Ovis aries: one gene and its partners. The protein of the gene in region 1 purifies or fractionates together with the protein of each later gene. This does not show direct contact. Links are inferred from orthologs where the notes say so. Each region holds a gene or a part of one and is shown in the gene's direction. Other genes may lie near its edges.

The links. Proteins that work in one complex are often made in the same cells at the same time.
Region 2: the proteins of CUL4A (region 1) and DCAF4 purify together in Homo sapiens (affinity purification with mass spectrometry; 8 studies listed by BioGRID and IntAct, counting the BioPlex papers as one, with this or other methods). This does not show direct contact. The link is inferred for Ovis aries from reciprocal best matches to the Homo sapiens genes CUL4A and DCAF4.
Region 3: the proteins of CUL4A (region 1) and DET1 purify together in Homo sapiens (affinity purification with western blotting; 6 studies listed by BioGRID and IntAct, counting the BioPlex papers as one, with this or other methods). This does not show direct contact. The link is inferred for Ovis aries from reciprocal best matches to the Homo sapiens genes CUL4A and DET1.

What each region holds. Positions count from the first base shown.
Region 1 is NC_056063.1:85,893,376-85,903,923, forward strand, and holds part of CUL4A (cullin-4A), read left to right. Parts: intron 1-68; coding exon 69-138; intron 139-1,004; coding exon 1,005-1,078; intron 1,079-2,003; coding exon 2,004-2,166; intron 2,167-2,390; coding exon 2,391-2,480; intron 2,481-3,433; coding exon 3,434-3,516; intron 3,517-5,086; coding exon 5,087-5,154; intron 5,155-5,552; coding exon 5,553-5,671; intron 5,672-7,127; coding exon 7,128-7,320; intron 7,321-8,486; coding exon 8,487-8,591; intron 8,592-8,791; coding exon 8,792-8,902; intron 8,903-8,976; coding exon 8,977-9,062; intron 9,063-9,613; coding exon 9,614-9,721; intron 9,722-10,548. UniProt on the Homo sapiens protein: Core component of multiple cullin-RING-based E3 ubiquitin-protein ligase complexes which mediate the ubiquitination of target proteins. As a scaffold protein may contribute to catalysis through positioning of the substrate and the ubiquitin-conjugating enzyme.
Region 2 is NC_056060.1:82,554,341-82,564,888, forward strand, and holds the end of DCAF4 (DDB1- and CUL4-associated factor 4), read left to right. Parts: intron 1-1,782; coding exon 1,783-1,862; intron 1,863-2,863; coding exon 2,864-2,962; intron 2,963-3,082; coding exon 3,083-3,180; intron 3,181-4,033; coding exon 4,034-4,207; intron 4,208-4,553; coding exon 4,554-4,668; intron 4,669-6,195; coding exon 6,196-6,389; 3' UTR 6,390-6,585; downstream 6,586-10,548. UniProt on the Homo sapiens protein: May function as a substrate receptor for CUL4-DDB1 E3 ubiquitin-protein ligase complex.
Region 3 is NC_056071.1:18,918,275-18,928,822, reverse strand, and holds part of DET1 (DET1 homolog), read left to right. Parts: intron 1-4,282; 5' UTR 4,283-4,390; intron 4,391-4,498; 5' UTR 4,499-4,508; coding exon 4,509-5,591; intron 5,592-9,755; coding exon 9,756-9,943; intron 9,944-10,548. UniProt on the Homo sapiens protein: Component of the E3 ubiquitin ligase DCX DET1-COP1 complex, which is required for ubiquitination and subsequent degradation of target proteins. The complex is involved in JUN ubiquitination and degradation.

The sequences.
Region 1 (10,548 bases):
GAAATTAAGGGGTAAAAACTGCAGTAAATCAGCCTGTGTTTCTGAAGCTTTCCTTAGCAGGCCTCCACAGACTCACTAGACAGCGTGTTGTTTCTCAAGAAGATTAACACATGCTGGCAGGATCACTGCAGACAGATGGTGAGCTTGCCGACGGCCTCTGCGACGCTGGCGGCCCAGGCGCCTCCTCCCTGTGCCGGCCTCGGTGCACGAGGAGGGCTGGGGGTCTGTCCTGTTCAGGGCCTTCAGACCACACACACAGGTAGCCCCGGGCCTCTGACTCCTGGTGAGCCTCTGGAGTTTTCCTTGATCTCAGTTTGTGCCTGAGAATCAAGCCCGAATCCCAGGGCTTCCTGGTACCTATGGACAGCAAGGCTTAGACTTAGTGGCCGTGTTGATTCTAATTTGGCTTTATGTGTGTGAGTTTTCAGGGTGGCCTGGCTGAGAGTTAGGAGAGGGGGAGCAGAGGCAGGTCAGTAGCTCTTCCGATGGGGCGAGTGCTCTTGTTTCCTAACGGAGGTAAGTGGCAACAGCGAGAGAGTCTCTTCCAGGCCCAGCACCACGTGAGCGATAGAAACAGGCGAGTGTCCATCAGGAGGGTTCTGTGCTTGTGTGAGCAAAGCTCCTGGACAGTCTGGGGAGCTCCCTGAGAGGAGAGTCCTGGGCCCCCCCACCCCCGAGCCTGCAGAGCAGTTGAGGGCCGCGTGCCCACGTGCCAGGAAGGCGTGCTCAAGCCCAGGCTAAGGACATTGAGCCCGTCAGTGGGGAAGGAACTGAGGTCACGCGTGTCTCAGAGGCCGAGTGCTGTGAAGTCCTTCGTCAGATTTTCTGAATGAAGGAGGAAAAGCCAACACCAAGGGGAGCAAGTAGACTCGGGGCGTCGGTCCTGAGGGTTTTGGTGAGGCAGCCGTGTGAGATGTGAGACGCGGCCGCTCAGGGGAGGCAGCCGCGTGAGATGTGAGACGCTGGGGGGCCTGGGGTGGGCTGACCCGGCCCTCTGCCCCCAGATCATGATCCGGAGTATCTTCCTGTTCCTGGACCGCACGTACGTGCTGCAGAACTCCACGCTGCCCTCCATCTGGTGAGTGTCTGCGCTGCGGCTGCTGTGCGTGCCCGACCGTCTGTCTGTTCTGCGCACCCACCGGGCCCCTCGGTGGACCTCAGCCCGGGGCATCCATCTCTGAGGGGTGGCCGCCGAGGTGGTGGCTGGCAGTCCCGTGTGGTCTCCTGCGGGAGATGGGGTCCCGGGACGGGCCTGGCAGGCTCAGAGTCTCCACCCCTCACTCTGCTCTGAGGGTGCTGAGCGCCAGGGCCCAGCTTCCCCCTGCTCTGCATGCGGGGCCTTTGGGGGGCCGTGTGAGCCGGGACCCGGCGCCCCTGTCACCTGGGTCCCTGCTTGCTGCCTCCTGGCCGCAGCCCGAGCAACTCAGCCTGTGCAGAAGCCTGCCCCGGCTCACCCGCAGCCCTCCTGGCCTCCATCCACATGGACAGTCACTCCTAATTCGGGTGCTGTGCCCGGGACATGCGGCTTGTGGGCGGTGGAGGGCGGAGGGGATGAGGGTGTGTCCTGCTGGCTGAGTGGGAGCTGCTGGAGCCCGAGCTGAGAGCTCAGCTTCCAGAAGAGGGTGCCTGCAGCCACGGGTGAACTTCTTCCTGAATCCTCGGGCAACGGGCTAAGGATGGGTGGCGGGCTCTGGTTTGCATCCTCATTCTGCGGTCCTGTGGCGCAGACAGATGCAGCGGCTGGAGCACGGGCTCGGTTGGGGGCGGGGGACACCGAGGACAGGAGGCCCTGGGGCCCCCGGCAGGGTGGGGGGACCCACTGACTCACGCAGGAAACAGGCTGCCTGGATGAGGGAAGAGGCACAAGGCGTGCCAGACTGTCAGGAGGAAAATTAGAAAAAGGTCGACTTGTGCACTAGCAAGTTAGCAAGCAGGTGTGTCTGGAGCTTCACCCAAAATCTGTGACGGGTGAACCCGACGCGTCTCGTTTTTCTGCTGTGCAGGGACATGGGGCTAGAGCTGTTCAGAAACCACATCATCAGCGACAAAACGGTCCAGACGAAAACCATCGACGGCATCCTGCTGCTGATTGAGCGGGAGCGGAGCGGCGAGGCGGTGGACCGGAGCCTGCTGCGGAGCCTGCTGGGCATGCTGTCTGACCTCCAGGTGGGCCCGACCGCCCGAGGACAGGGTCAGACCTCGCTGGAGACCACACCGTTCAGGCGTTGGCTAAAAATGAGGGAGTGTTGTCCCTCTGCACTCGGGGCGAGAAGGGAGCTGCCCCCAAGCAGGGGCGTGGCAGTGCAGCCGGCCGCCCTCGCCGAGGGGTCAGCCTTCAGGATGAGCGGCTTCTTTGCTGTAATTGGCCAGTAACTCTGCTCATTTTTTAGGTATATAAAGACTCATTTGAACTGAAATTTTTGGAAGAAACGAATTGTTTATATGCTGCAGAAGGCCAAAGGTTAATGCAAGAAAGAGAGGTGAGTCGCCGAGAGGTTTCTGAAGTGCCTTACTTGGTTTTCATAGAAGTGTATCCAAGTGTGATTTCTAAGCATCTGTCTTTTCACACAGGCAGACATTCTCCTCAAAATCTTCTGAAAGCTACAATCTAGTTTCAGTTCTCAGTAATGAGATTCTTTCTTAGTATCTTGAGAGTTTAATTTCCCCCTATTTTAGAAACTTTTCCCCCCATTAAAAAAACCAGAAAAGCAGTTTCTGGTTTACATAAAGGAGCTCAAGCTGAAACAATATGATAAAAGATAATTTTGTGTGTGTGTGTGTGTGTGTGTTGGGGGGAGGGGTGCCTGTGCTGAGCCGTTTGTGGGATCTTAGTTCCCAGACCAGGGTTTGAACCGTGCCCCCTGCCATGGGAGCGTGGGGTCCTAACCACTGGGCTGCCAGGGAGTTCTCTAAAGATAACGCTTAAATATGAAAGATAGACCCGATATGCTAAACATTTTCACCTGTGTGAGACACTGAAAGAAAAGACCCTAAAAGCCATGGGGGAATGCCAGGTGACGGTAATCAAACCCCAAAACCTCTCTAGCTGGTTTCTCCAGCCTTAGAGCCCAGCCCAGAAGGAAGCCCTGGGGCCAGCATTGGAGGGCAGCCTGGGCACCACCCCGGGCCAGGGCCTCGGGCCCCGGCTGTGCAGGCAGGGGGCAGCACGGGCGCCCTTCACCCCCGGAAACTCGGAGTGTGGTTTGCGATCTCCTGCAGCCTCCTGGGGCCCCTGGGGGAAGCGTGTGACGGGTGCCCGCTGGCCGCACCGTGTGGACGGGGCGCCGCGCCCCTTCCCCGCTCCGTCAGCCGGTGCTCCGGTTTGGCTTGCGTGCAGTTCTGCTTTTTCTTCCACTAAAGCAGCGTTTGAACTTCTTGGGTCACGTGAAGAATGTGTTTTGTTGCTGAAGTGTTTCAATGTTCTTTCTGGAAGGTTCCAGAGTACCTTGACCACGTGAGTAAGCGCTTGGAGGAGGAGGCGGACCGCGTGATCACATACCTAGATCACAGTACACAGTGAGTGCCGCTCCGGGCTCCGTCTGGGGGCCTCCGGGGGACGATGTCCCCTCCACTCCCCGACGCACGGCGTCTCACAGACTCACTTGCTGCTCTCTGGCCCTGGACGTGGCTTTGGTCCTCGAGCAGTTTGCTTATCACTCGTGACTGTTCAGCAGTCGTGAGTCGCACTGACCGAGTGGCCTGTCTTGAGATCCTGTCCAAAGGAGTGATTTGAACAGATACTTGGTGTCTTTTTGCCATTTTTAATTTATGTTAGGAATCTGTCATTTATGAAACGTTGATGGGGCGTCACTGAACGTAGGCAGTTTTGCTGTGAACTTTGGCTGGAAGTCTGAGGTACCGATGTCGCCGGAACTATTTTGCTACTAATGCAAGCCCCATTATTTTCTCATTTCATCTGATTTTTTTCTCTGAATTGATGAGTATCTAGGGAGAAGTTCAAGGGAAAGTTTTTTGAGTGTCTGTGTCAGGCACGTAACGTTTATTCAAGTGAGGAAGGTCAGAGCAGCAACGTGGGAGATGGAAAAGAGATGTTTCTAAGAGGAAAAGTGCTCAACTGCGGGTTGTGGTGGCCTGGAGGGGGGAGGGGGGTAGAGGTGACAGGCAGGAACAGTGTGGCAGCCCGACAGGACACAGGGCTGGAGCAGAGGCAGGCTGCCCCAGACAAGGAGCTGGAGGCGCCGTGGGACCGCGGGGGCTGGGGTGCAGCGAGGCAGAGGACTGTGTGGTGGGACGCCCCAGCCAGCAGCCCCTGGTGCTAGGCCCGGCGGCTGCTCCTTCAGCCCTCATGCGGGTGCGGCATGCGAGCCCCACCGCACCCCGTCTCCGAGAAGTGACTGCAGGCTAAGCAGAGGGCTTGTGGAGAGGGGGGGCTCCCTGGGCTAGGGTTTTGAGGGGCGCTGAGGTGGCTTCTGCAGTGTCAGATGACTCAGAGGCCACAGGGCGAAAGGTGACTTTCAGAGAAAGCAGGTGCAGGAGGCCAGTAAATGAGTCCCGGGCTGCACGCCCCCTCCCCAGCTCTTGGCGCCTGGAGCCCAGGTGGCTGCCGGCCTCTGTCCGTGTGGGGCTGCCGTGCAGGCCACGTGAGGTGGTGCAGGGAGCAGTCCCTCGAGTGGGCCCGAGCTTAGCGACTCCTAGGAGTGCAGCAGGCCTCTGGTCTCCGAGGACAGGGCTCAGCGAGCAGGGGCCTGGGCCCCGGAAGGGCGCCGTGTCCCCTCGTGCAGGGGCAGCCCCACACGCCCGTCTCCAGGGCGTCTGGCTCTGTGCTGCGTGTGACACTCCCAGCCTCTGTGAGGAGTCGGGCTTTGATGTGTGATCCTGGGAGGACGCAGGTGGAAGAGCAGAGGGGCAGCTGGGGTGGCGGGGGGGGTCTGTGGGACCCAGTGGGGCGGGACTGGGGGCAGCGGTCCTGGAGGCCCGGGGACTGGAGCTCAGTGGGTTGGAGCGCGAGGGCCCCGTCCGCTGCCGCCCTTCTTGCTGGACTCGGTGGCCCGAGGCCGGGTGAGCGCTGGGTGGGCCCGTCCCTCCTGGTTGATGGGCTCCTTGTGCCCCGCCCCCCCCCCCCCAGGAAACCGCTGATCGCCTGTGTGGAGAAGCAGCTCTTGGGAGAGCATCTAACAGCAATTCTGCAGAAAGGTAGGCTTCCCGCCTCTCGTGCCTGCTCTGACCGCCTGTCCTGCATTCAGTGAGAGGGCTGGAGCAGCCGTGACAGCCTCAGTCACCATGATCGTCGCAGGTGGTGGCCCTCAGCCTGGGGGGGGCTGGGTTACCAGTTGTGTTGAGGGGGTGGGCAGGGAGCATGGAAGGTTCGGGCTAAAGTCACAGGAGTCCTGTCAGGGCTGAAAGACACCAGCCCCTGGCGGGCAGACAGCCTCGCTGTGCTCAGGCCTGGGCTGACCACCAGCGTGGACGCGTGGCGGCCAGCCGACTGGCCCCGAGGGCTGCCTCCTGCCTGCGCGGGGTCCCGGGGAGTGAGCAGACCTGGCCACCCCCGTCCACCTGCCGCCCGAGCTAGCACTGCCGTGTGATCTCAGGGCTGGACCACCTGCTGGACGAGAACCGCGTGCCGGACCTCACGCAGATGTACCAGCTGTTCAGCCGCGTGCGGGGCGGCCAGCAGGCGCTGCTGCGGCACTGGAGCGAGTACATCAAGGTGCGTGGGGCGCGGGGCGGGGCCCGGGGCGGGGCGGGGGGCCCGGGTCCCCAGAGCTGCCTCCCCTCCTGCAGGCTCAGGCGGGCCCGGCTGGACCTGCCTATCGCCTTCTGGGTCCGGTGAGCACACAGTCTTGGGGATAAATAGCATCCAGGTGTGAATGCTTTAAAAGCTGCTGTTTGGCCGTTTGTTGTCTGCATAAGTACTAGCGGAGACTAGCGGAGTTCTATAGCTATGATTTTCAAAAAGTTGCCTTTGGGAATCTACTGTTGAAACATGATTTCATGCTTGGCTCGGTGGGAACTTACACAGTTTGGTGTGTCTGGGTAGGGTGTATGCGGCTTTGTTTCCCGGAAACCCAGGATTTATTTGTGTTTCGGTTACAAAAAGGCAACAGGAGTGGTCTGTGTGGCGCTGGGCTTGGGTGCTGCGCCCCCGGCGAGGTGTAGGTGAGCGCGTGGCCCGTCTGGACGAGCAGGCGTGAGCTGCGTCAGGGCCGGGGTCCTGGTTGTGCTGCTGCTCGGCTGGGGCCCGTGTGTCAGCGCCGGGGACCAGGCTGGGCGCGCGAGGCACACGGTCACTCTTCTTGCTGCACGCGGGCCTGTAACCATCAGGAGGAAGATTCAGCTCAGTGAGAAAGATGACGGGAACAGTCAGGCCTGCGCGTGGAAGGCTCGTACACGCACACGCACCCCCAGGGTCTTGTGCCGCCGCATTGAGCCGAGAGGCATGCGCGACTCAGGCCTGGTCAGCACTGGGCTTTATGCCAGGAAAGGCCGTGGGGGTCGAGGGTTCTGCCGCCCAGGGTTCTGAAAGAACGGGCCCAGGTCCTGACACAGGAGGGCAGCTTTCCAGCGTCCAGCCTGGACAGGAGACGTTGGATTGTGAGCTTGTCCCGGGTGTCCACTGAGGATGAGCCGTGACGCTGCCCCCCACCCCTGCAGGCCGCGCCAGGCCCCTCTCCTGAAGCCTCTCGGCCGCTTCACCTGAGCCTTCCCGCCAGTGGTCTGCCCCCACGTGCACCTCTGACGTGGAGCTCCTCGTGTGTCGTGTGTAGTCAGATAGCCAACTGGTATTGTCATACAGACTTCTAGTCATGTTTAAATAGCATTTCTTAAATAAAAATGCAGGCTAAAAACCAGAGTCTAAACCACAGTTGAACGTGAAAGAGAAAGAACTATTGTTAGGAAGTCCAAATAGGTGTAGAAGGTTAAGAGGATTAATTTCTGTTTGAGGGATTTATAAGTAAAAGTTCTTCCAGAAGCAGAATTGTAACCCTACAGGTTAGTTGCGTGCCCACTCAGTTTTTAGAACGTGGACTAAATCTGTGAAGCTTCTGGAGGGACTCAGCACCTAGTACTGGGAGTGATTAAGCTGTTCAGCCATCACGGTCGCTTGGTAGCGGGAGAGGAACTGCGGCGTTGGAGCCCTGTGGCTGAGCTGGTGTGTTTTGCAGACTTTTGGGACAACGATCGTCATCAATCCAGAGAAAGACAAAGACATGGTTCAGGACCTGCTGGACTTCAAGGACCGAGTGGACCACGTGATCGACGTGTGCTTCCAGCGGAGCGAGAAGTTCATCAACCTGATGAAAGAGTCCTTCGAGACATTCATCAACAAGCGGCCCAACAAGCCCGCGGAGCTGATCGGTAGGGAGCAGGCTCGCGCACAGGCTTCCCCTGGAGCACGCGCCGCACGGGGAGGGTGGGCGGGCCTGAGAGGGCCGCCTTTCCGGAAGCCACAGACACCAGCGTGCGCTTCTGTGTGCTGAATCCATATGTGAGCACGTGATGTTTCCATTGGGAGCGTGTGGTGATGGTTTTGTGACAAGATGGAGCCTGACGTCTCAGGAGCAGGATGAGACCAGCAGATTTCTCCTCGCCTGCACGGCCCCGGCCCCAGAGCTCTTCCTGCCCAGAAGCTGGCCTGGGTTTGTCGTGTAGGAATGTTAGGAGGGTGACTGTTGGCCTCTCGACAGCGCCTGACAGGAGATGGCTGTTCAGGCTCGACCTTGTATCCCCCAGTCAGTGTTAAATGTGGTGCGATTGATTGGCACTCTTTCAAATGATCCCTTTGTATACTTATTTCCTGATAACATCAAAATATACCAGGATTCATGGAGTCTCATCAGTGAGGCAGTTTTTTTGGAATTGTCCAGAGGCAGTGGGCAGGGAGGTGTGAGGCCGTGGCATAGGGCTGAGCTCCGGTGTGGGCTGGTGAAGGCGCCTGGTGGGAAAGTGGAGGTTACAAGTGCGTACATTTGTGGCGCTCAGAATCAAGACAATGAGGGGAGGGGCTAAGACGAGCCAGCGGAAGGAGACGTTCAAATGCACCTGTTTGATTTGGCCTTTGTGCCACTTTATAGACTGTGGTTTCTCTAAAGACACATTCGGACTCTGGGGAGCTCGGGTTCTCCCTTCCTTTGGGCAGGTCGAGGCAGCCTGTGCGTCTCGAAAGCAGGAGGGCAGGCGGACCCACTCTGTGCCTGAGGGGTCAGCCCTGAGGGGAGTGCTCCCGCGTAAGGAAGCCTTGCCCGCACGTCTCCGCAAATCCTGCTGGCGGGCTGCTCCGGCTTCTGGAGCGGTCGTGTGCCAGGAAGCTCCAGTGTGGGACCGCGGGGTGTGTTCTCCGAGCCTGGAAAGCACAGATCTTAGAACATCAGGTGTTTGCCTTTTTGTTACAAAATAACATGTCAGTTTGGGAAGGTTCCAAGTGTTTTTTCTTGGAGAAATTAAAGACCTTCCTTTTTGTATTTAGAATATGTATCGTATTGTGGAGTGAATGCTTATTTTTCAAATGATATCCTCTCCTACAGCAAAGCACGTAGACTCAAAGCTCAGAGCAGGGAACAAGGAGGCGACAGACGAGGAGCTGGAGAGGATGCTGGACAAAGTCATGATCCTGTTCCGGTTCATCCACGGTGAGCTGGGCCCCCAGCGCGTCCGCGGCATGGGACCGCGGTGGCAGCCGCTGTGCGCGCAGCAAGGGGGTTTGTGGGGATTCAGCGGGAAGAGCTGGCTGGCACACGCGCGTGGTCGCCTCTTGGGCCGAGTCAGAAGCTGAGGTGAACATTTTGACGGCAACTGTTAAATGTCTCACATGGTTCTTGCTTATAAATAGGTAAAGACGTGTTTGAAGCTTTTTACAAAAAAGATCTAGCAAAAAGACTCCTGGTTGGAAAAAGTGCCTCCGTCGACGCTGAGAAATCCATGCTGTCGAAGCTGAAGCACGGTAAGCGCCGGGGGTGGGGGTGAGCGCCCCACTCAGGGCCTTCCTGATGCTCACCCGCCGTCCGCTTTGTGCAGAGTGCGGGGCCGCATTCACCAGCAAGCTGGAGGGCATGTTCAAGGACATGGAGCTCTCCAAGGACATCATGGTTCATTTCAAGCAGGCAAGTTGTGTTCAAGTGAAACAGCTCTTTTAAAAACACGCTATTTCAGATTCTGTGAAATGATTTTGCATGTAAGTATGTGACCTGTGTAAAATCCTCGTCTTTAAAAATCACGCTGTTGATGCTCCACGTACTCAGAACACTTCAAAATGAAAAAGAAACATAACCCCCCGGGATTCCCTGTTGGTGCAGTGGTTAGGACCCCAGGTTTCCACTACCGAGGGCCTAGATTCAGTCCTCAGTCTGGGAACTAGGGTTCTGCCGGTTGTGTGGCGCAGTTGGAAAACAAGAAAAGAAAACTAATTCCTAAAAGTGCACTTGGAACTCTGGCTTAAATGAGCTTAATGGCCCGTATCTGGGGCAGAAGTGAAGAGAGACGTTCCCAGTGGCGTTTGACCAGGGCGTGTGGCCTCAGTGGGCTATGTTCCAGGGGCTCGAACAAATGAAACGCAAGGTGAGCTGTAGCTGGGAAATGGGGTCATCGGTTTCTGGAGGTCAGTTCTGGGCGCTGCTCTAAAGTGGCCGTCTGTCCCGGCTTCCTGTCTGTGCAGTACATGCAGAACCAGAGTGACCCGGGCTCCATAGACCTGACCGTGAACATCCTGACCATGGGCTACTGGCCGACGTACACGCCCGTGGAGGTGCACCTGACTCCAGAGGTGAGCGCGCTCGGGAGCCAGACCCTGCTGCCACGCGCTCCTGCTCCAGGCCCCACGCACCGCAGGGAGCGTGGCAGCCACGCTCGCTGAGCCCTGACCATCCGCGTCTTCTCGGAGCAGCGTTCACAGCGGGCGCTCCTGGTCTGTCTCTGCCGGCTGCCTGTCACGGAGGCGCTGGTTTAAAAAGCTCCTGTGTGGGAGCCTCGAGCTTCCTTGGCTGGCTGATGCTCCCACCCGACATACCAGAGCCAGGGCCTGAGAGGGCAGGGACGGCGTTGTGTGGCTGAGACGGGCCCTGTGAGGGGGATGGGGTGTGCCTGCCGGCGTGGGCCCAGGGCCTCCGGGGCGACAGCTAGGCCCAGGGCCTGGCACCCGGGCAGATGTGCTGCTGCCCGGACCCACCCTTCCTGTTCGCAGGGCAGAGTCTCCTGGAGTCCCCCGTTTCTGGCCCCAGGCAGTCTCTGTCGCGTCCTCTCCTCCTTTTCCTCTTGCCTGTACCCCGAACGCACATGTTCCCTGGAAGCCCCAGCTCCGTCCCTCTCAGCCTCCAGCCTGTGTCTCCAATCCCCCCCACCCCGGGTCTGTCACGGCTGTCCCAGACTCAGCGCCCCTTCCCACATCTCCCCACGCGATGGGACGGCTCTGCACCCCTCCCCACACTCTGCCTGGCGCGCTCACGCTCCCAGGGCGGGTGTGACCGTGCAAGCTGACACTCTTTCCTGGAAAACCTCCACGCCCCGTCTGTGCCTGCTGGTTGACACTCGTCTCCCCCCTCCCCCTGGGGTGTGCGTGCACACGCGTGCCGGCGCTGCAGGACTGGCCGGGCG
Region 2 (10,548 bases), on another chromosome or scaffold:
AAGGAAAAGAGATTTATTTAAGAAAGAATTGAGCTGCCCAGACACAGGGTTCTCATGTATAGTTTCAACAGCCTCTGTACTAGAGATACTTAACATGAGGCTTACCACCCAAGGCAACATGATACCATACATACGTCACACATGCAGGTGGTCAAGACTGTTGCCTGCTTGCACAGATGTACGTTTTTCAATGAAGTGTGTATATTCATCCCATCATTTATTGAGCATCTGCAATCCCTGTGGAAGGCTGGAACTGGGCACCTCAACAGGTGATCGAGTCTGCATTGATGGCCGTGGGGCAGTTGTAGAGTACAGGAATTGGGTGGACCTTCTGGAGGTGACTCCCACATGGGAAGGAGGGGACAGAGTGCCCATTAGAAGGAAGAGTGAGAAGCGAGCTTGGCACATTGGGCAGCAGTAAGTGGCTTGGTAGCCATGATGTTTTTGGCTAGGTAGGACCTTGCCAAACCAAATCCTCAGGGCTGTGGGATGCCCCTTGAGAACGGTGGTCATGGATTCACTTCTTGTGGCAGTGAGGGTGGCTGACTGGTGAGGATGAGACATTGGATGGAAGGCTGCTGCAGGACCAAGAGTAGTGGAGAGTGAACTGATGAACAGGAGTGGAGGAGAGACAAGTTTAAGAGGCTTTAGAGCCTAGGCTGGGGTGTCTTAGTGATAGAAGGTCCAAGGATGGAACGCCGGGGGAGTGCTTATGGAGCCAAGGAGTGTCGTTAGAAACTGTGCTGCGTGGCTCAGGGCAGGACTGGAAGGCATTCATCGGGTTTAGGTATTAAGAGCTCACTGGAGACCTTGGTGGAGAACATTTCACTGAAAAGGTGAAGGTCTGACCTGGATTTCAGTGGGTTGAAGAGTAAAAAGGCGAGGAAGTAGGGAATAAACACAGGTTCCTGTTGAAACTCTGAAGGGAAAGGAACCAAATCAGAAGACGGTCCAGCAGAAAAGCAGGCAAAGGATGTAAAGTGGCAGCTCAGAGAACGGGAAACCTGATGACTATCAGCTGTAGTCAGAGATGCAAATTAAAAGATAATTTATACCCACTCAGATAAACGCAGTTTTTAAGGTCTGATAGTGCCAAGTTTTGGTGTAGGAGGAGAATGGGGGAAACTGCTAGAAGATGCCAGTTTCCTATTTAGTAAGGGTGAATGTATTACGGAACTCCTGTTTTAAATGTTTGTGTATGTATCACACGCTAGTGTAAAGTGAAGCCCTTATCACAGGTGTGAGAAACTTTTAAGAGAAGCATCCCATACATGGGAGTGGAAGACAGAGGAAAAAAGGATGCGGGTTGGGGGCAAAACCCACTTCATTGCCCAGCAGCAGGATCCCAGATAAATAAATTGTGGTCTGTTCATACAAAGGAGTGCTCTATGGTGCAGGTGGTTGAACCAGAGCTGCAAACACAACCGCAATTACATCTCAGAGACAATGTACATTGAACAGTTGTAGAAGATTGTGTGTGATGCCGTCTACATGTATTTTAAAATCAAATGCTTCTTTACATTGCTTATGGACAAATACTGTGTAGTATAAATGCTAAGGCCTAGAACTCAGACTTGTTTTAGAGTAGCAATTCTCTCTGTGTGGGGGAAGTTAAAAAGGGGCCTTTAAGTGTATCTGTGACATTTTTTTCCTTTTAAAATATCCAAACTAAATATGGAAAATGTGAGCCTGTTAAATGTGGATGATTTTTTTGAAGAGTGCTGATGCCCGTTCTCCTCCTGGAGGAGACTCGTTCTTGACTGTCCTTAACAGCTTTTCCAGGCTGTGCCTTATGGGAATTGCAGAGACTCCGGGCTGTGCCACCCTGCTCCCCACGTCGCTGTTTGTCAGTAATCATGCAGGTACTGATGGATAAGGAGGTGCTGGGGGACATCTTTGTCCTCTGCCTCCCAGGAGCTGCAGCCAGCAGCAGCATAAGCTCTGTGGTGATGGCTTGGACAAGATGGGTGGGGACCACAGGCTAGTGAGTCTTAAGTGGGAGCTTGCAGGGTGGGGACGGTCTGCAGAGCACCTGGGAGGATTCCTTAAACTCCACCCAGGATTTGTACTGGAAGCATGTACATCTTCACTTATCCCCTCCTTTTAGGTCTTTTCAGCAGCCAGAACAGTTAAAAGCATGTATAACCAACATAGGAGATGAAAATATTTATTTAGGTTGCCTATATACAGATGACCAAGAGAGCATCTGTTAAGCTCCTACTGTATGGAAGGTGCTGTGAGGGATACTTAGATTCTGTATGGCTGAAGGCAGCCTGATGGCCTGGCAGCATTCTGGATATGAAGTTTTCAGTTTCAGAGAATTAGGATCAGAGACAAGGATCAGGCCTCTCAGGTAGACCTGGCATGAATCCCAGCTCTGCCCCTAACCATCTTGAAGAGATTGCTTAACCTCTGGAAAGTAAATATCTGCCCCCTCGGGTTACATGGAAGATTAAGTGATTTAATGCACACTTAGCCTTGTGCCTAGCATTTCATCATACAGCCAGTTTGTGAAGCAGGAGGATGTAGTATCACCATTTTACAGATGAGGAAACTGAGGCAAAAAGAGGTTCAGAATTTGCCTTACAAAACCAAGAGAGGCTCTTAGAAGTCAGGATAGTGGTTTCCTTTAGGGAGGAGTGAGGAGGGTAGTAATTGGGAAGAAACATGAAGGGTATCAGTGTACTAGAATGTTCTATCAACCTGGGTGGCGGTTATATAGCTCTACTTACTTTGAGAAAACTCATTAAGGGATATAGTATGGTTTGTGCCCTTAATGTATGTTTTATCAATTTTAAAAATGAACAGAAGGTTTGCTTAAGATTGCACAGCTAGACTTGAAACACTGCTGCTGTTCCCTCAGCAGGAGACCGGCCTGGCATGCTCTGCAGTTTCCGGATCCCCGGGGCCTGGTCCTGTGCGTGGTCCCTGAACATCCAGGCAAACAACTGCTTTAGTACAGGTGAGCCACCCAGCTGCCCAGGGTGAGGGAGGACCCAGACCCGAAATGCCGGCCCACAGTTCCCTCTCCCTGGACCGAGAGGGACGTTGTCCGCCATGTCTCCATCTCCGTCTCTGTCAGGCTTGTCTCGGCGAGTCCTGGTGACCAGCGTGGTGACGGGACACCGGCAGTCGTTTGGAACCAGCAGCGACGTCTTGACCCAGCAGTTTGCCGTCACGGTTGGTTGCACTGGGGACGGCCTAACTCAGAGTTTCCCAAAAGGGGACCTTGTGCTGGGTTGGAATAGGATTCCCTTGTGTGCAATCTAGTCCTCCTCTCATTTGCAGGGAAAAAGAGGGCATCCAAAGTGATTCATGGGTGAATAAGTCAGTGCTGGATGAGATTTGGCCGATCTAGAAAGGCCTGGCTCAGCTGGCTTTCAGCAGCTTCCTAAAGTTTCAATGAAGTGTTAGTTCTTGAGTACTTAGATTAGCCAGCAAGACCATAAAAAAATTTTAATGTATAAATTATGTCCCAGTTAGTAACAGTTTTATATGCAGTTGTCAAGCTACCCATGAAATTTAAAAATCAAAATTCTGGTCCTTACTACATTTCAAAGACTTGACCTGTAGAAAATGCCACCTTTCTTTCAAAGCGTGGAAGAGATATGCCGACCTGCTTTTGGCAATAAGCACAGAACTCCTCATTCCGGTTTCTTCAGCCATCTTCCCATGCTATTTGGGACCCGTGTCTTCCCTCGATTTCTAGTCTGTTTTACTCCACTCTCATCACCTACTTCCTAACTCACAACCTGGGCGGGAACGGGACACCCTCACTTCACGGGAGGGGAGGGGTTCAGGGTGAGGCCTTAGGGGCCCGTCGCAGCCAGCGGGGAGGACACTGGAGGGACACATGGTGTCCAGTTCTTGACCTTTGATAAGAAGCCCTTCCGTCTCCACTGAAGCTCGAACCCTAACCAGGCTGCCTCTACCTATCCCTCTGATCCAGAGAAGGGAGGCAGGGGGCTGTGTTCTGGGGGACTCAGCCTTCGCAGCCGTGGAGGGAGGTACCAAGCAGTCCTTCTCTCCACAGGCTCCTTTGCTATTTAACGGCTGTCGTTCTGGCGAAATCTTTGCCATTGATCTACGTTGTCAAAATCAGGGCAAGGGCTGGAAGGCCACCCGCCTGTTCCATGACTCTGCAGTGACCTCTGTGCAGATCCTCCAAGAAGAACAGTGCCTGATGGCATCTGACATGGCCGGAACGGTATGGGTACCACTGACTCTGCAGCTGCGGGAGCCGCTCTGGGCCAGGGGAGGGGCTTGGCAGGAGAGACTCCTGTGTCGGACCGTGGCAGGGGAGAGGCATGGAGACCAAGTGAGGTGCCAGGTGTGCAGGGCAGCTGCTTTGCCACCCACTCGGAGCCCCGTCTGGTCTAAAGGGATGGGTCACTGGTCCTGGTGCCTCTGATGGGTTCTCAGACTCAGACCAGGCATTTTCTCACTTGAGGTGGTCTTTGGAGACCACCTCGTCCCCGCTGGCTTTCACGCCTGGGGCTCACCAGGACCTGCTCATGGACCCTTCCTGACAGCCTCTGTGCTTCTTCCCACAGATCAAGCTGTGGGACCTGAGGACCACCAAGTGCATCAGGCAGTATGCAGGGCACGTGAACGAGTATGCCCACCTGCCCCTGCATGTGCACGAAGAGGAAGGAATCCTGGTGGCAGGTAGCTGGGGATGAGGCGCTCCGTCCCACTGACCCTGACCCTGAGGACCCCCAGCAGCTGAAGCAGAGAAGACATGACTCTGTGACAAGCTGAATAAAGGGGGTTTGGACAGTTGGGTCTGGGAGTCAAGATGGGGTGCAAAGTTGGCCATCAGTGAGCAACAGTTTAACCCCCAGCATGTGGATAGCCCTTTGTCTCCACGTCCCTGGGCAGACATCACTTCAGTTACAGGCCAGTGAGGAGCAATAAAACGCAGCAACGTAGGAGACCTGGGTGTGCGGGTTAAGTCTGCTCACCAGGTCCACATTCAGGGCGGCCGTCCTGTCGAAAAGCTTGAGCTCCCTGTTCTTTGTACTCACGTTTCTACCAGAGGATGCTGAGAAAAGAGATGAAGGTCATTGTAAAGGAACCAATGCCCGGTCCCTTTACCACCACCGCTGTGATCCCATGATGTGTAGAACAGAAGCAGAGCTTTCGAGCACCAAACCCCCTTGAAAGGAGTTACAAGTTGATCACAGATTATATTATATAATTATTTGGCAGTTTCACAAGGCAGTAGGCCCTTGGCATTAAGAGGTATGTTCTCAGTCTTCACAGATCTCAAATTTTCTAATATTCCTACAGAAAGTACTTCTCTGCTGTGAAATTTTTTGTGGCTGAGAAGCATCACTTCGCTAGAACTCAGAATTTTTTACGACTCTTACCACACCACCAGCAGTTAGCTTCCTTAAGTCTGTCTTCCACAAGTTTTCACCACAGAAGAGTTTCTGTGTTCTGGACGATAGAAAAGATATGAGCCTTGCTGAGAAGCAGGTGTAGGGAGTGGGCTGGCTGCAGTAATCCTTGAACTGCACAGCCCGAACTGACCCACCCCTAAGGTCAGAGAGTCAGCTCGGATGCTCAGAAGCACACACTGAAATCCGTGACGCCTAAGGTCTGCCCTTTTCCCCCACTAGCATATATTGGCTGTCGGAGCTGCTGTAATCAGTGGTGTCTGGTGTCTCTTTCCTCTGACCTATGAACACTGAAGACTGTAAAGTCTTATGAACTGAATCATTAAAGCAGAAAATGTTTTGGAGGGAGTTATCACCCAATTTGCCCGGGGATGTAATGAAATTAAAGAGATCGTCCTGGTTACTGTCTCATAAAAAGGAAATGAGCTGCATGCCATCTAGAACAGGTGGGCTGAGCTCCCTCTTGAACAGCCCTTGTCACCAAGAGAAACAGAATGGGCCACCCAATAGCCAAGATGCCCCATGAACCACCCAGGGTGTCACAGCCAGCCTTTGTGTCTTGTCCCTTTGAACACCAGCGACTCGTGATCCTGGAGCACCAGGGCAACCTGTAACTTTCATTTTCAAAAGGGACATCTTATCTGTAGAGACAGTTTCCGTTGTGAGTTTGCTTGGCTCACGTGGAATCACCTTTAGCCCTTAGGAATCGTGGAAGCTGGGGCCACAGTTCCCGCCCCCCGCCCTGGTCCTGTGCTTTCTCACTAACCTGCCGCACGTCTTCCTTCTTTCTTAGTGGGCCAGGACTGCTACACGAGAATCTGGAGCCTCCACGATGGCCAACTACTCAGAACCATACCCTCCCCATACCCCACCTCCAAGGCCGACATTCCCAGCGTGGCCTTCTCTTCTCGGCTTGGGGGCTCCCAGGGAGCGCCAGGGCTGCTCATGGCCGTCCGGCAGGACCTTTACTGCTTCTCCTACAGCTAACTCTGCGGGGTGCGGCCTGGAGGGATGTGAATGTTACTCAAGGGAGCTACGGTAGCTGTATTTTTGCCACAATTGCTGTTTCCAGTGAGGGCATTTTAAGTGGGTCGTCTGTGTGCACATGTACCATCCATCCAGCTGCGGAGGAAGAGGTGCTGTGTTTTATGTGGAGATACTTCAGTAAAGTGATTTCGATTAAGTTGTGAGCCTTGAAAGTCCTTTTCATAAAAGGTGCCTATTTCTTGCTGAATTCCTTAGGATCTCCGCCCCCCTCTTTTTTTAACAAAAAATAATTTTCTAAAGGCTGAAGATAGACAGTAACTAAAGCTGCTTTTTTCGCCAAAAACCCTTTCAAGAAGCCTGATGAGACTGTTAGTAGTCAGTGCCTGGGTCCCAGAAAGACATCCTTGAGAAAGCCAGGTGGAGAAGAAGGGGAAGCCATTTCTCTGAGTCTCTAGAAGATTTTTAAGGCTGAGTTGGTCATCATTAAATTAGCCTTCTCAAACTCACTCAACACCAGTGTCAGATCTCTGGGATTCTTATTTATTACCATTCTTTGGCTTTCAAAGGAAAGATGGATCCTTTCAGATGCTAGGCAGGCCTTAGCGTGCATTTCTTGAAGCACCTTCCAGAATGTTAGATACAGCAGCAGCTCCTGTATTTATCGTGGTGACTTGAACATCCATTCAAGGACCCCAATTCAAAGAAAACGGGCTTTGCCTTTTTGTAATCAAAGAGAAGCGGTCTGTGAGATGTTTATACAGAGTATTAATATATAAAGAGCCTGTCTTTCTACCAAATAAACCACAACATGGTGTGTTGCTTCTGTTCACGATTTAGAACCTCGTGATGCTTGGCTGCTGTAGCGTCAAACCAGCTACGGCAACACCTGCTCAGATCTTGGGGGAGGGAACAAAGGGTGGAGCCTGAGGCCAGCTTTCCTGGCTTTGCTGCAAAGCTTTCAGCAGGGTCCCTGGTCTGGGTTGGGTTCAGCCAATCGAACCTAACAGCAGGAAAGCAGAGGGCAGGAGCTTGAGGGGAGAGTGTTAGTTTCTGGCTCCCCTCCTGTTGGGGTTTGGAGGGCTGTGGCTGTTTCCCTCCACCCCAGGTTACAGCTTCTGCTGGAACACAGCTCTCTGGATTCCAGGAACTTCTCTCCATTTGTCCCTTCAGACCTGCAGCTGGTAATTGCATCTCTCTGTTGCTAGTCCAATGTGCTTTACCAGTTAAAACACTCTAGAGTTACCCCCTTGAGTGTTACACATCTGTGTCCTGCCAGAACCCTCCTACAACTTAATGTACAGAGAAATCCAAAACTCGTATCAGAAAGGTCATCCAATAGATGAGCTGTATGTTATAATAAATGTTTTCAGAGCTTTAGGTTTTCTAAATGACTTTCCCCTATCTTAACCTGACTTGACCCTTAAAACAACCCATAAAGGAGGTAGGGCAGTAGTAATAATATAAAAGTTATCAGCATCCTTTTCTGGGCAGAGAAACTGACTACAGATCACAGACCTGGGAAGCAAGAGACCTGGACCTTGGCACCAGAAGAGGCCTTGTCCTCTACTTTCCACACTCCTCCAGGTGCTGACAGTACTTGGGTATCACACTGCTAGTGCTAAGGAGAAATCACAAAGCGGCTTGTGGCAATGCTAGCATTTCATATTTAATCACCAAGTAAATAAATTTTTCTGGCTCTGGCACTCAAAGGCTAAGAAGCTTGCCAATTACCAGAATTCTTAGGTGTTCAATCATTTAGACATTGCCCCTGTATCTCTGCAGCCCTGGTATGCTGACCTGCATGAGGAACCAGGAAATAGCCTTAGGATTGAAAGGTCCAGCTGACCAATCAATCAGCAGAATTTTTTGGATTGATTTTGGTGACATGCCCCAACCCGAAGAGCACAGACAAGCATAGGTGCTAAGATATGACCCTAATATCACTCGTACTTTCACCCCCCAGAAGTTCTAAGTTCTCACAAGTTTGTTGATAACATGATCTGCCTTCTCTGGAGAGTATCTTTGGTATTGCACCTCTAGTGCAGGGCTTTTGCCACAATTCTGTACTGCAGAGAAGCTGTGGCTACTGGGTCCACTTCTGAACAGTACACTGTCTCAGAGACAGGAGACAACGGACTACTCAAGTACCTGATCAGCTCTGAGATACAGCCAGTGGTTATACCTGCAATGCAAGAGACCCAGGAGATGGAGGTTCAATCTCCGGGCCACGAAGATCTCCTGGAGGAGGAAACGGCAACCCACTCCAATATTCCTGCCTGGAAAATCCCATGGACAGAGAGAGGAGCATGGTGGGCTGCAGTCCATGGAGTTGCAAAGAGTTGGACATGACTGAGCACATCACATTCCCAAACACCTTCCTAAGTCCTTGTCAACTGTGTCGTAGCCCAAGTTTCTTACTAGGCAAATACAGTTGTCAAAGAATTAGCTGTATGTTTGCCTTAGGCTTAAAAAAAAAAAAAAAAAAGGTGAGGACATAGTCAAAACTTCTTAATTTAGCAATCTGTTCTTATGTTTGGTTAGTGGTCACTGCTCCTAACATTTGGTCTAGATGATATGAAAAGTTAAACCTCACTGTGAAGTTGATAAAGCATTTTGGCACACTGGCTTGTTAAGTGTCCCAAAGACTTGAGTCCGTCATACGCTCGAGATATTTTTCACTTGCAGGCCTGTTAGGGTATTTTGCCCTGATCCTCCGGGTGACAATGAAAGGTCTAGAATGAACAAAGGGTGGCATCAGCACCAGTGTCCAATAAATCCTTTGCTGTTTGCTTGCTCGTGGCCTTCTTAACAGATGAGAACAGTAGCACAGACTGGTCACCAGAATTGCCCACAGATCAACACTCGGTGCCCCCAACAAGGTCACCACCCACTTACCTCTTACCTGTGAGCCCTCACTCTGTGCTGGTCTAAATGTTCCACGTAACCATCTCTGTAAACACCTGCAGGCTAAATTCCTCCATTCATGTTATGATGGTAGAATCCTCTGGGCCCACTCCTTGAAGTCTGCCTCTCCAGGCCACTGCCACGAGAAGGACGTTCCCCAAAGATCCCTGCACTCAATGGCTTCTTGTGTCTCGGGATAAAACGTGGCCTCGAGATGTGAACACACACGCCTTACCCTGTTGCCCCTTCTCTTGGGACATGTTTCACCCTCACCTGGGCATCTGTGCAAGCTGTCCTCCACTCCATTTCATCTGTAATCATCTAACTGTTGAGTCTGAGCTTCACAGAAACCTCCAGGGTGGTTAGTTTCCCCAGCACTTACCACATCTAGACACTGAGTGTTTTGCCACCATTATTCCCTTTTAATTCTTAGGACCCTATGAAGCAGGTGAAGATCACACCAATATACTGAGGGAAAAAAAACTGAAAAGAAAGCAGTTTGCCTAAGGTCTGCTAATGAGTGAGAGAGCTAACAAGTTCTCCTCAAGAAATCTATTCGAGACAGAATGGACTTTTTACTTTTGCCCTGGAAGTGTAAGATCTCCTTAAACCTAATTTTCCTGCAGGTGACTTCTGGACCCATCTCCCTGCTTGCTCCTACCACCCACCCACCTGCACTCTTGGCCTCATCTGAATTTAAGCAGCTGCCACAAAACCAAGATGAACACTGGGTGTGTAGGACAAAAAAAAAAAAAGAGAGAACTTTAGGTTATTTTGATACCGGGTTACCTTCTTCTCTCCTGGTCTGACTAGTATAAGAAAGTGAGTTCGGAAGACTTTTCTGTATCTTTCCTGTGTAGTCCAGCAGACACTATGCTCAGGGGTGGCCCCACACGACAGGCCAGGAGAACAGTTGTTCAACAGGAGCTAAACAGACAGAGCAAGGCAGGGGAGAGGATCGACACCAAAGGGCAGATAGAAAAGGAGAAGAGTCTCTTCCCAGTGTTTCCATAGGTCACTAGAAACACCTAATCTCTTCTGGGAGAGAGCATTCCCAGGGAATAAACTGAGATATTTACAAGTAAAATTCACCTCTCACTTGGCTTTTGCTCTGAAAAGCTACCAGCTTTCATCAACTAGGGGACATCCCTGGCGGTTAAGGCAGTAAAGCGTCTGCCTACAATGCGGGAGACCACGTTCAATCCCTGGGTTGGGAAGATCTCCTGGAGAAGGAAATGGCCACCCACTCCAGTAT
Region 3 (10,548 bases), on another chromosome or scaffold:
CCTCCTCCAGGGGATCTTCCTGACCCAGGGATTGAACCCAAGTCTCCTGTGTCTCCTGCACTACAGATAGATTCTTTACCTTTGAGCCACCAGGGAAGCCAGTCAGTCTGCTGCTGCTGCTGCTGCTGCTAAGTCGCTTCAGTCGTGTCCGACTCTGTGCGACCCCATAGACGGCAGCCCACCAGGCTCCCGCCGTCCCTGGGATTCTCCAGGCAAGAACACTGGAGTGGGTTGCCATGTCCTTCTTCAGTGCATGAAAGTGAAAAGTGAAAGTGAAGGCACTCAGTTGTGTCTGACTCTTAGCGACCCCATGGACTGCAGCCTACCAGGCTCCTCTGTCCATGGGATTTTCCAGGCAAGAGCACTGGAGTGGGGTGCCATTGCCTTCTCCTAAGTTAGTCTGTCTGCTAGACGGTGTCAAATGCCTGTTCCTTCTTCCATTCATGGCCGTACTTGGCTCTCATTCCCTGCTGGTCTCCCTGTCTGATTCCAGCCCCCATCTTGGGTTTGAAGGATGCGAGTGGCAAAGATGTCCTGGACAGGGAGTGAGTGAGGTAGTTTTGTACATTACTTGGTATTTAAAACTGCTTAAACCTTACTAGTATTTTTTTTGGACTATATCAAAATGTGCACATGAACTGTGTCACTGTGAAAAGGAGCAGCTGTGTGAAACTCACTATTGTTTATTTTTGCTCAGAAGTGGAGGATATTTGTTGCTGAATCATGCCAAAATCCTTTTAGAAAACTCATGAGAGAGATTTTTTAAAAATTCAGTGCTGGGAATTTCTGAGCCTCTTCCAAGCAGCTATTAAGTTTTAATCTAATTGGCAGTGAAGAGTCTGTAACTGTGTTTTCCTGTGCCTCGTCTGCTGAGAAAGTCAGAGCCACCTTGGCAGTTCCACAGTTTCTCATGGTATGCATTTTTGTGTACTTCAGACTTCTTTTTATTGTCCTTTGTTTACCCTTCACAGTGATTGTTTTCTAATTAAGAAAAATTCTGAGTAAGCACAAATATTACTTAAAAAATATGTAATTTTAAAAGAACAACAGTACAATGAATGCTAATTCAAGGAAAAAAAAAATACACTTCAGAATGCCACCAGGGTGTCCCTAACTCCCATCCCGTTTCCTAAACTTCCTCAGAGGCACCACTTTTGAATCTCAGGTTTGTAATCCTTTACTGTTTCTAATTATATGCCATATGTGTTTGTGTCCTTAAACTAGAAATGGTTTGAAACTTATATAAAGGGAATCACACTGTATGTATTCTGTAACTTGCTTCTTTCACTCAACGCTGTGTCTGAGATTCATCTGTGTTGTTATGTATGACTGTAGTGCATGAATTCATCGCTTGCGTGGGGGAATTGCCGGGCAGTCCAGTGGTTCGAACTTGGTGCTTTCACTGCTGGGGCCTGTGTTCAATCCCTGGTCAGGGAACTAAGATCCCACAAGTCTCATGGTGCAGCCAAAACTAAATAAGAAAAAGATTCCCCTGCATGAATGTGCCTGGATGAATTTAGCTAGATTACTGTTTTTTGTTTGTTTGTTTGTTTAGCTAGTCTACTATTGATGGACATTTGGAGTATTGTCAAGATTTTGTTGTTGCCAGCAGTCCTGCTGTGGACATCTTTGTATGTGTTTCCTGTTATATACATGCAGACATTTCTCTAGGTCAGGATTTTAAGCTCGTGGGCTGTGTGGTCTTTGGTCTTAACAAATCAACTACGCCATTGTAAAGCAAAAGCAGCCATAGGCGACATGTGAGTAAGTGGGTATGACTGTGCTTCAGTAAAAATTTATAAAAATAAACAGGCAGGCTAGATTTGGCCTGAGAGCAGTGGTTTGCAGTCTTTTGCTCTAGTCTAAATCAGTAGGAAATACATTAATGAATTGTGACGAGTAGTTTGAGAAACTTGATTTGTTTAGTCATACAAGTATGCACATTTTTAACTTGACTAACTCAGCTGCTAAAGAATCCGCTTGCAGTGCAGGAGACCCTGGCTCAATTCCTGGGTTGGGAAGATCCCCTGGAGAAGGGATAGGATACCCACTCCAGTATTCTTGGGCTTCCCTGGTGGCTCAGTGGTAAAGAATCTGCCTGGCAATACAGGAGACATGGGTTCGATCCCTGGGTCGGGAAGATCCCCTGGAGGTGGGCATGGCAGCCCACTCCATTATTCTTGCCTGGAGAATACCCACAGTTAGAGGAGCCTAGCGGGCTGCAGTCCATGGGCACAAAGGGTCGGATATGACTGAGCAACTAAGCACAGCACAGATAGTATATATACTTACACCAGGCATTTCTAATTTCAGGAGACAGAATGTAAACAAATTCCCATTGTCTGTATGTTTTTATTTCTAAGATACAGGTTGGATCAGTCACTCCTCTGCTTAAAACCTGTAATAACTTGCATGACATGGCACGCAAAGTATTTTCTAATCTGGCTCCAATCTACTTTTTTAGGTTTCTCTTATCACTTTGTTTCCTGTGTTCTAACCACTTGGAATTGTGTTTCCCAAGTGTACCACACTACACTCTTTTTAAGTGTATTTTCTTAAGCTACTTTCTTTCTGAAATGTTCCTCCTTTATTTTACCTAATGTGTTGTTTATCCTGGACGACCTTTGTCAAATGTTGTTCCATTCATTCATTTCTGTTTGTGAGCACTTGCTGTGCTTCAGGCGCTGTCCTAGGTGCTGGAGATTCAGCAAGGAATTAGACAAGGCCCCTGCTTGCTGTCCAGTGTGGGGAGACAGATACTAAAACAGTAAACAGATGGTTTCAGAAAGTGATAAGTGCTGAAGAAGATAAAATAAGGTAAAACAGCAGATTGATGTGGATGGAAAAAGGCATGACTTTAGGTAAGGTAGTCAGAGAAAAACTGAAGAGTTGCTATTTAGCTGCGATTTGAATGATCAAACCGACAGTTGGTTCAGCCCTTTAAAAATGTTGCTTTGCTTCTTTCTGGCCTCCATAGTTCCTCATGAGACATCCACAGGTATATGAATTGTTGTTCCCGTGTGGCTAATGTATCATTTAAGTGGTTGCTTTCAAGGTTTTTACTTCATGTTGTAGGTTTTCACAGTTTGACTATGATATGTCTGGGCGTGGATTTCTTTGGGTTTATCATGTTTGGCGTTCTCGAATTTCTAATCTTGGGTTTATGTGTGTATGTGTGTGTTAGTCGTTGAGTCGTGTTGACTGTGACCTCATGGTTTGGGGCCAGCCAGACTCCTCCGTCCATGGGATTTTCCAGGCAAGAATACTGGAGTGGATTGCCATTCCCTTCTCCAAGGGATCTTCCCAAGCCGGTATCAGACCTGGGTCTCCTGCACTGCAGGCAGACCCTTTGCTGTCTGAGCCACCAGGAAAGACTTGGGTTTATGCGTGGGAGGGTTTATTTCTCAGGTCTTAATTCTCTTCATTTGGTATATTTTTCTATCTTATGTCATGCCACACTTCTTTGAAATCAGTAAGTCTGAGTCTTCTAACTTTGTTCTTTTACAAAATTGTGTTTTAGGGTCCCTTGAGGTTACATGTACATTTTAGGATGAATTTTTCTATTTTTGCCAGAAATGATTTTAGAATTTTGATAAGAATTGCATTAAGTTTGTAGATTCTTTGGGTAGTACGGACATCTTAACAGCCCAATGAATGTGTTTTCTATATGAATTACAGAGTGAATATGGTGTTTACACTGAGAAAATTTGATGTAGTTGAAGGTTTGTTCTTTTGAATATTCCCAACAGCTGAGCATGCTTTGAAAGTCTTCCTAGAGAATTCGGTCCTTCCCTCAAAAATTGAGTTTTGATAGACTTAAAGCTATCTGGACCACTTACTAACTGTAACTTGGGAAGGAGAAATGCCAATTACCATCATGTTGGGAGCTCCTCCACCCAGGGTATATGGAGGAAATGTATTTGACTTGTGTATACACAGTTACTCCTCGAACAACACAGATTTTAACTATGCAGGTCCACTTACACATGGATTATTTTTTAAGCCATTCATAATTTTTATTTTATTCTTAGTGGAGGATGATTGTTTTACAATGTTGTGTTGGTTTCTGCCATACAACAGCGGGAATCAGCCCTATTTATATATTGCCTTCCTCTTGAGCCTCTCTCCCACCCCCACCCCACCCCTCTAGGTCATCACAGAGCGCCAGGCAGGACTCCCTGTGTTGGACAGCAGCCTCCCACTAGCTGTTTTACACAACATGCTACTTTCTCAGTTCATCCCTCCCTCTCCTTCCCCTGTACACGTGCATTTTTTCCAACAGTAAATACTGCAGTTCTGCACGTCGCTTGAATCCACGGGTGTGGAAGATCTGTGGACAGGAAGGAACCACATATCCTGAGCCAACTACAAGTTATACTCAAATTTTCAGGTGCAGAGGGTTGGTGCTCCTCACCCCCGCCTTGTGCAAAGGTCATCTGTATTTATGTTTTGGTAAATTTTTGTTTTCTTGACTTCTCTTTTTTACTTTCCCATGCAGAGATGTGATAATGGATCATCATGTTTCCACCATCAAACCTCGAAGAATCCAAAACCAAAATGTCATTCACCGCCTGGAGCGCCGGCGGATCAGCTCGGGCAAGGCAGGCACCCACTGGCACCAGGTCCGGGTCTTCCACCAGAACGTCTTCCCCAACTTCACCGTCGTCAATGTGGAGAAGCCACCTTGCTTCTTGCGAAAGTTCTCCCCCGACGGACGCTACTTCATCGCTTTCTCTTCCGACCAGACCTCTCTGGAAATCTACGAGTACCAGGGCTGCCAGGCCGCCGAGGACCTCCTGCAGGGCTACGAGGGGGAGATTCTGGCCAACGGCAACGACCAGCGGTCCGTCAACATCCGCGGCCGGCTCTTCGAGCGCTTCTTTGTCCTGCTGCACATCACCAGCGTCGCGGCCAACGGCGAGCACCTGAACCGGGAGTGCAGCCTCTTCACGGACGACTGCCGCTGCGTCATCGTGGGCTCCGCCGCCTACCTGCCGGACGAGCCGCACCCCCCCTTCTACGAGGTGTATCGCAACAGCGAGTCCGTGACCCCCAACCCCCGGTCCCCCCTGGAGGACTACTCCCTCCACATCGTTGACCTCCACACCGGCCGCCTGTGTGACACGCGCACCTTCAAGTGTGACAAGGTGGTCCTGTCGCACAACCAGGGGCTGTACCTGTATAAGAACATCCTGGCCATCCTGTCGGTGCAGCAGCAGACCATCCACGTCTTCCAGGTGACCCCCGAGGGCACCTTCATCGACGTGAGGACCATCGGCCGCTTCTGCTACGAGGACGACCTGCTCACCGTGTCGGCCATGTTCCCCGAGGTGCAGCGGGACAGCCAGACAGGCATGGCCAACCCGTTCAGGGACCCCTTCATCAACTCCCTGAAACACCGGCTGCTGGTGTACCTGTGGCGCCGGGCAGAGCAGGACGGAAGCGCCGTGGCCAAGAGGCGCTTCTTTCAGTATTTTGACCAGCTGCGGCAGCTGCGCATGTGGAAGATGCAGCTTCTGGATGAGAACCACCTGTTCATCAAGTACACCAGCGAGGACGTGGTGACTCTGCGGGTCACAGACCCGTCGCAGGTAGGAGCTGCCGCCCCGCCTGTCGCCCTCCCGCCACCTCGCGGGAGGCTTCTTCTGCCTGTTCCCAGCCTCTCGGAAGCAACACCTTTTATGTGGATCTTGAATTTTTGCTCCCCTAGGGCCGAACTTAGAACAGCTCCACTTATCTCTGGCCATATGTATTTGTTTGGACAAATGGAAGCTAAATCTCAAGCCATTGACATATAGGTAGTCAACCCTGTGAATATTGTCCTATTTCTCTTTTTTTTAATATATATATTTTTGCAACTTTACTCTTTTGGGGGCTGCGCTGGGTCTTTGCTGCAGCAAGCAGGGCCATCCTGCTTGCCCTGCAGCATGTGGGATCTTCATTCCCTGACCAAGGACCAAATCTATGTCCCTTGCATTGGAAGGCAGTTTCTTAACCACTGGATCACCAGGGAGGTTCCCTACCCTAATTCTTCTGTAGAGCATTTTCAGTACCCTGGAGATGGAAGCCCAGATGCTCTAAGGTTAAGATTTGACTCCCTGTGGATAGTGCCTTGGTTTTGTGGAAGATTGTACTTATTGGTCTGTTTTAGTTCTGGCAATGAGAATGAACCCATCATACAAAAAAGGAAAATCTTCCAAAAGTCTAGTCTTTTTTCTTGTTTAAATGATGTCAGTATACTTTCTCACAATATCTTTAGATTGTAACTAGTCTTTTTCTTACTGAAATGAACTCAGTATACTTCCTCACAAAATCTTTAGATTGTAACCAATGGGACAGTTCATTTAATAGAGTTAAGCTCTATGACTTTACTCTGACCTTGCCCACATGCTGGAACATAGACTGTGGAGCAGTGATAAGATGGGAAGGAAGTAAAAGTTTTTGATCTACCAGTGAATCACCAGGACTGCAGGTTCTGAGGGTTTTTTAGTTTGGGTGAAAGATGTTGATGGGGAAGACGCATTTCACAAATAGGAATAAGGTGTTGGGTTAAGAGTATAGAAACCGTGAAGATGGTTGGGTTGAAACACCATGCTGAACCTCAGGGTGATGTGGACATTTACCTTTGAGGAGCTGTCTACTTTATTGTTGACCAAGAGAGACCTAACTTCTTTACAGTTCAGTTCAGTTACTCAGTCATGTCTGACTCTTTGCAACCCCGTGGACTGCAGCATGCCAGACTTCCCTGTCCATCACTAACTCCCGGAGCTTGCTCAAACTCATGTCCATCAAGTTGGTGGTGCCATCCAACCATCTCACCCTCTGTCGACACTTTCTCCTCTTGCCTTCAATCTTTCCCAGCAACAGGGTCTTTTCCAATGAGTCAGTTTTTCACATCAGGTGGCCAGAGTATTGAAGCTTCAGCGTCAGTCCTTCCAGTGAATACTCAGGACTGATTTCATTTAGGATTGACTGGTTTGATCTCCTTGCAGTCCAAGGGACTTTCAAGAGCCTTCTCCAGCACCACAGTTCAAAAGCATCAGTTTTTCAGTGATCAGTTTTCTTTATGGTCCAACTCTCACAACCATACATGACTACGGGAAAAACCATAGCTTTGACTAAATGGACCTTTGTCAGTGAAGTCATGTCTCTGTTTTTTAATATGCTGTCTAAGTTTGTCATAGCTTTTCTTCCAAAGATCAAGTATCTTTTAATTTCATGGCTGCAGTCACCATCTGCAGTGATTTTGGAGCCCAATAAAATAAAGTCTCTCAGTGTTTCCACTGTTTGCCATGAAGTGATGGGACTGGATGCCATGATCTTCGTTTTCTGAAGTTTGAGTTTTAAGCCAGCTTTTTCACTCTCCTCTTTCACTTTCATCAAGAGGCTCTTTGCTTTCTGCCTTAAGGGTGATGTCATCTACATATCTGAGGTTATTGATTTTTCTCCCTGCAATCTTGATTCAAACTTGTGCTTCGTCCAGTCTGGCATTTCACATGTTGTACTCTGCGTATAAGAGCAAGGTGGCAATATACAGCCTTTACGTATTCCTTTCCCAGTTTGGAACCAACACCCCACCCCCCATCATTCTCCTATTTCCACATTGTCTCCTTATATACGAGTTTGGAAGTGTACAACAGAACAAACCAGTAAACTGCCGTCAGCTGAGTCTGGTTTCTCTCATTGACTTGTAGCTGATTCTGCCCTTAAGAGAAACTACAGAAAATTTTCTCCTGAGACCTTACCAACCATCAGTGGAAAAATGGTTTCTAATATTTTTCTTCTGAATCATACCTTGTGTATTCTAAAAAAAAAAACAACAAAAACAAGGGTAGGGGAGGGGAGGTGACTAAAATGGTGGTGGTTTAGTTACTAAGTCATGTCCCACTCTTTGCAACCCTATGGACTGTAGCCTGCCAGGCTCCTTTGTCCATGGGATTTCCCAGGCAAGAATACCAGAGTGAGTTGTTATTTTCTTCTCCAAGAGATCTTCCTGGCCCAGTGATCCAACCTGCATATCCTCCATTGGAAAGCAGATTCTTTCCAGTGACATCAGGGAAGCCCATTGAGATCTGAGTAATAAATTCGTTAGAGATTTTTTTTTTCTGAATTTTTTTACTTCCTTATTAATGATGAAGTCACCATTGAGGGTGAGCGTCCAGTTCATCTCAGGCGTCATGAGAGGGTGTTGGTAGAGCCTTTGACTTCTGTACCCTTCTGTCGTGTATTTCCCAGTGTGCCCTGGTGGGAATGTTAGTAAATATTTGTGTAATTCTGTGTTCACACAGTCACGATGGATCCTGGTGAAGCCCTCATGTGATCCAAGTGTCGTCCAGGTTTATAGAAATGACATGAGTCCATCTTGTATTTAGGTTTGAGCTATAATTACCTTTTTGTTTTGGAGGGAGTATATTGTCTGTGACTGCCGCATTCGAGATTATCCTTTTCTCCTTCACTAAAACGTGACCTCCTTATGTCCGGTAGCTACAGTAAGTCATAGCCAGCAACATTGCTAGGGCTCTGTGCTTTGCTTACAGAATTTGTAACTTTAAACCCAAACTCTCCCCTCGTTTTCCTCCAGTCTCCTTCCCCAGTTTAATTTGATAGGTTCCAATAAGGTTAATGAGTAAAAAGTGTACCTCAACACAAAGCCTTGCTAATATTATGGGTATTATTCTCAGATTACCCTCCAGCCTCTTTAATTTACAGCTAAATTTAATTTCCAGGTGACCGCAAAAGTCATGTAATATAAGCTCTGGGAAGGACTAATTACTGGTGAAACAGGTGGGCCAGATGTCTCCAAAAATTGGTAATGAAGATTCAGGTTTAATCCTAGGAGGCAGAATACTAATCCTAGCGTTCTGGAAACTTCTAGAGTCCTGGTGGAAGACCCACACTGCCACATTCACTGTGACAAAAACTTGGGGTACCTCGTGCTTCCGTGTTAAGCTGAGCAGAACACTGGAGGTTCAGAGAAGAGGAGCAGGCACCTAGGGACCCATTCAGAGAAAGCAGTAACTCTGCCACCCAGAGCATCTGAATGCTTTTCATGTTTCCCCCTCTGATCTGTATTGCTACAAATGTCCAACATGTGTTACAAACGCTCTTGGCTAAAAGAACATTTATGAAGAAAGAAATGAAAACGCTTCTCTGACTTTTTCATTTGTCCAGCAGCAGTCCCCCGCTTGGTTACAACTTGCCCAGGTGGACATGGTGTGCTTAAGACGTCTCTCTGCATGTTAGAAATACTAAGAAAGAAAAGGAAGTGCCCCCAAATTGAACTTTCTGCTATACACATACAAGAGAAAATAATTTGCCAACAGGCAGCTCCTGACTGCAAATCACTTTCTCAGCAGGAAGGAAAATTAAATCTGGCATTTTAGAAAAGTGTTTTTAATCTCAGAATGGGTTGGGGCATAAGTAGGGAATAAGCACTTGAAAGGAAACATATTAAATTTGCACACAGTTTGAAATGAAAGATTGAAAGCCCTTTTATACATATATGCTGAACAACTCAGTAATTCCAGCAGCACAGGTACAGTGGGGAATCAGGCAGCTCTGAGGCCCTTGATGGCTCAATCCCACTGAGGCTTCCTCCTCTTCCAGAACCTCTAGGCATCATGTTGCTGCTGTAGTGCCAGAGTGGAGGTGTTTGCTTGTTTTACTTGGGGAGTTTGAGTTTTCAGCCGAATGGTGAATATGCTAGGTAAGGTCTTATGCTCAGCTGTCCCTTGGGTCTCTCTCTCCTTCTGCAGGCATCTTTCTTTGTGGTGTACAACATGGTAACAACAGAGGTGATTGCTGTGTTTGAGAACACGTCAGATGAGCTTTTGGAGCTCTTTGAGAACTTCTGTGATCTCTTCCGGAATGCTACCCTGCATAGTGAAGTCCAGTTTCCCTGCTCAGCTTCCAGCAACAATTTTGCACGGCAGATCCAGCGCCGGTAAGCTGCTCCCCTGGACTTAACAAGCTTAATTTTTCTCTAGAAAATGTGTTGGTGTGGAGCCAGTAGTTGTTTACTTCGGGAAACCTTCCCATGTTCTTTCTGCCCACCCGGCCTTGGGTCGGTCTGCCTGTTGTAACCTCCTGTGTCATCCTAAATGTCTCTCTCTTAGCACCCGAGCGATTACTTGTGTGTTGTCTGCGATTCCTCCTAGACTGTCTGTTACCTGCAGAGAGATAGAGACTGTGTCTTTGTTTAGTTTATTGCTGTATCTGCAGTGATTCACTGTCAAGCACTTAAAATAATTTTTGAATGAATCAGTGCAGTTGGGTTCAGTCGTTCAATTGTGTCCGACTCTTTGCAACCCCATGGACTGCAGCGGCCCTGTCCATCACCAACTTTGAATGAATAAGGAAGTAATTTTATAACTTTTGGTTAAACATGTGCATTGAACACATGCATTTATCTCTGCTGTATCCCAAGACCCTACTTAAAGTGACAGTAAAGGATGAAGAGATGTAAACCTACAAGAGCAAAGAGAGTGAGGAGGAGATATCAATAGAGTTTTAGAAGCTGAAGAGCCAGTGGATGGCTGATAACTAACT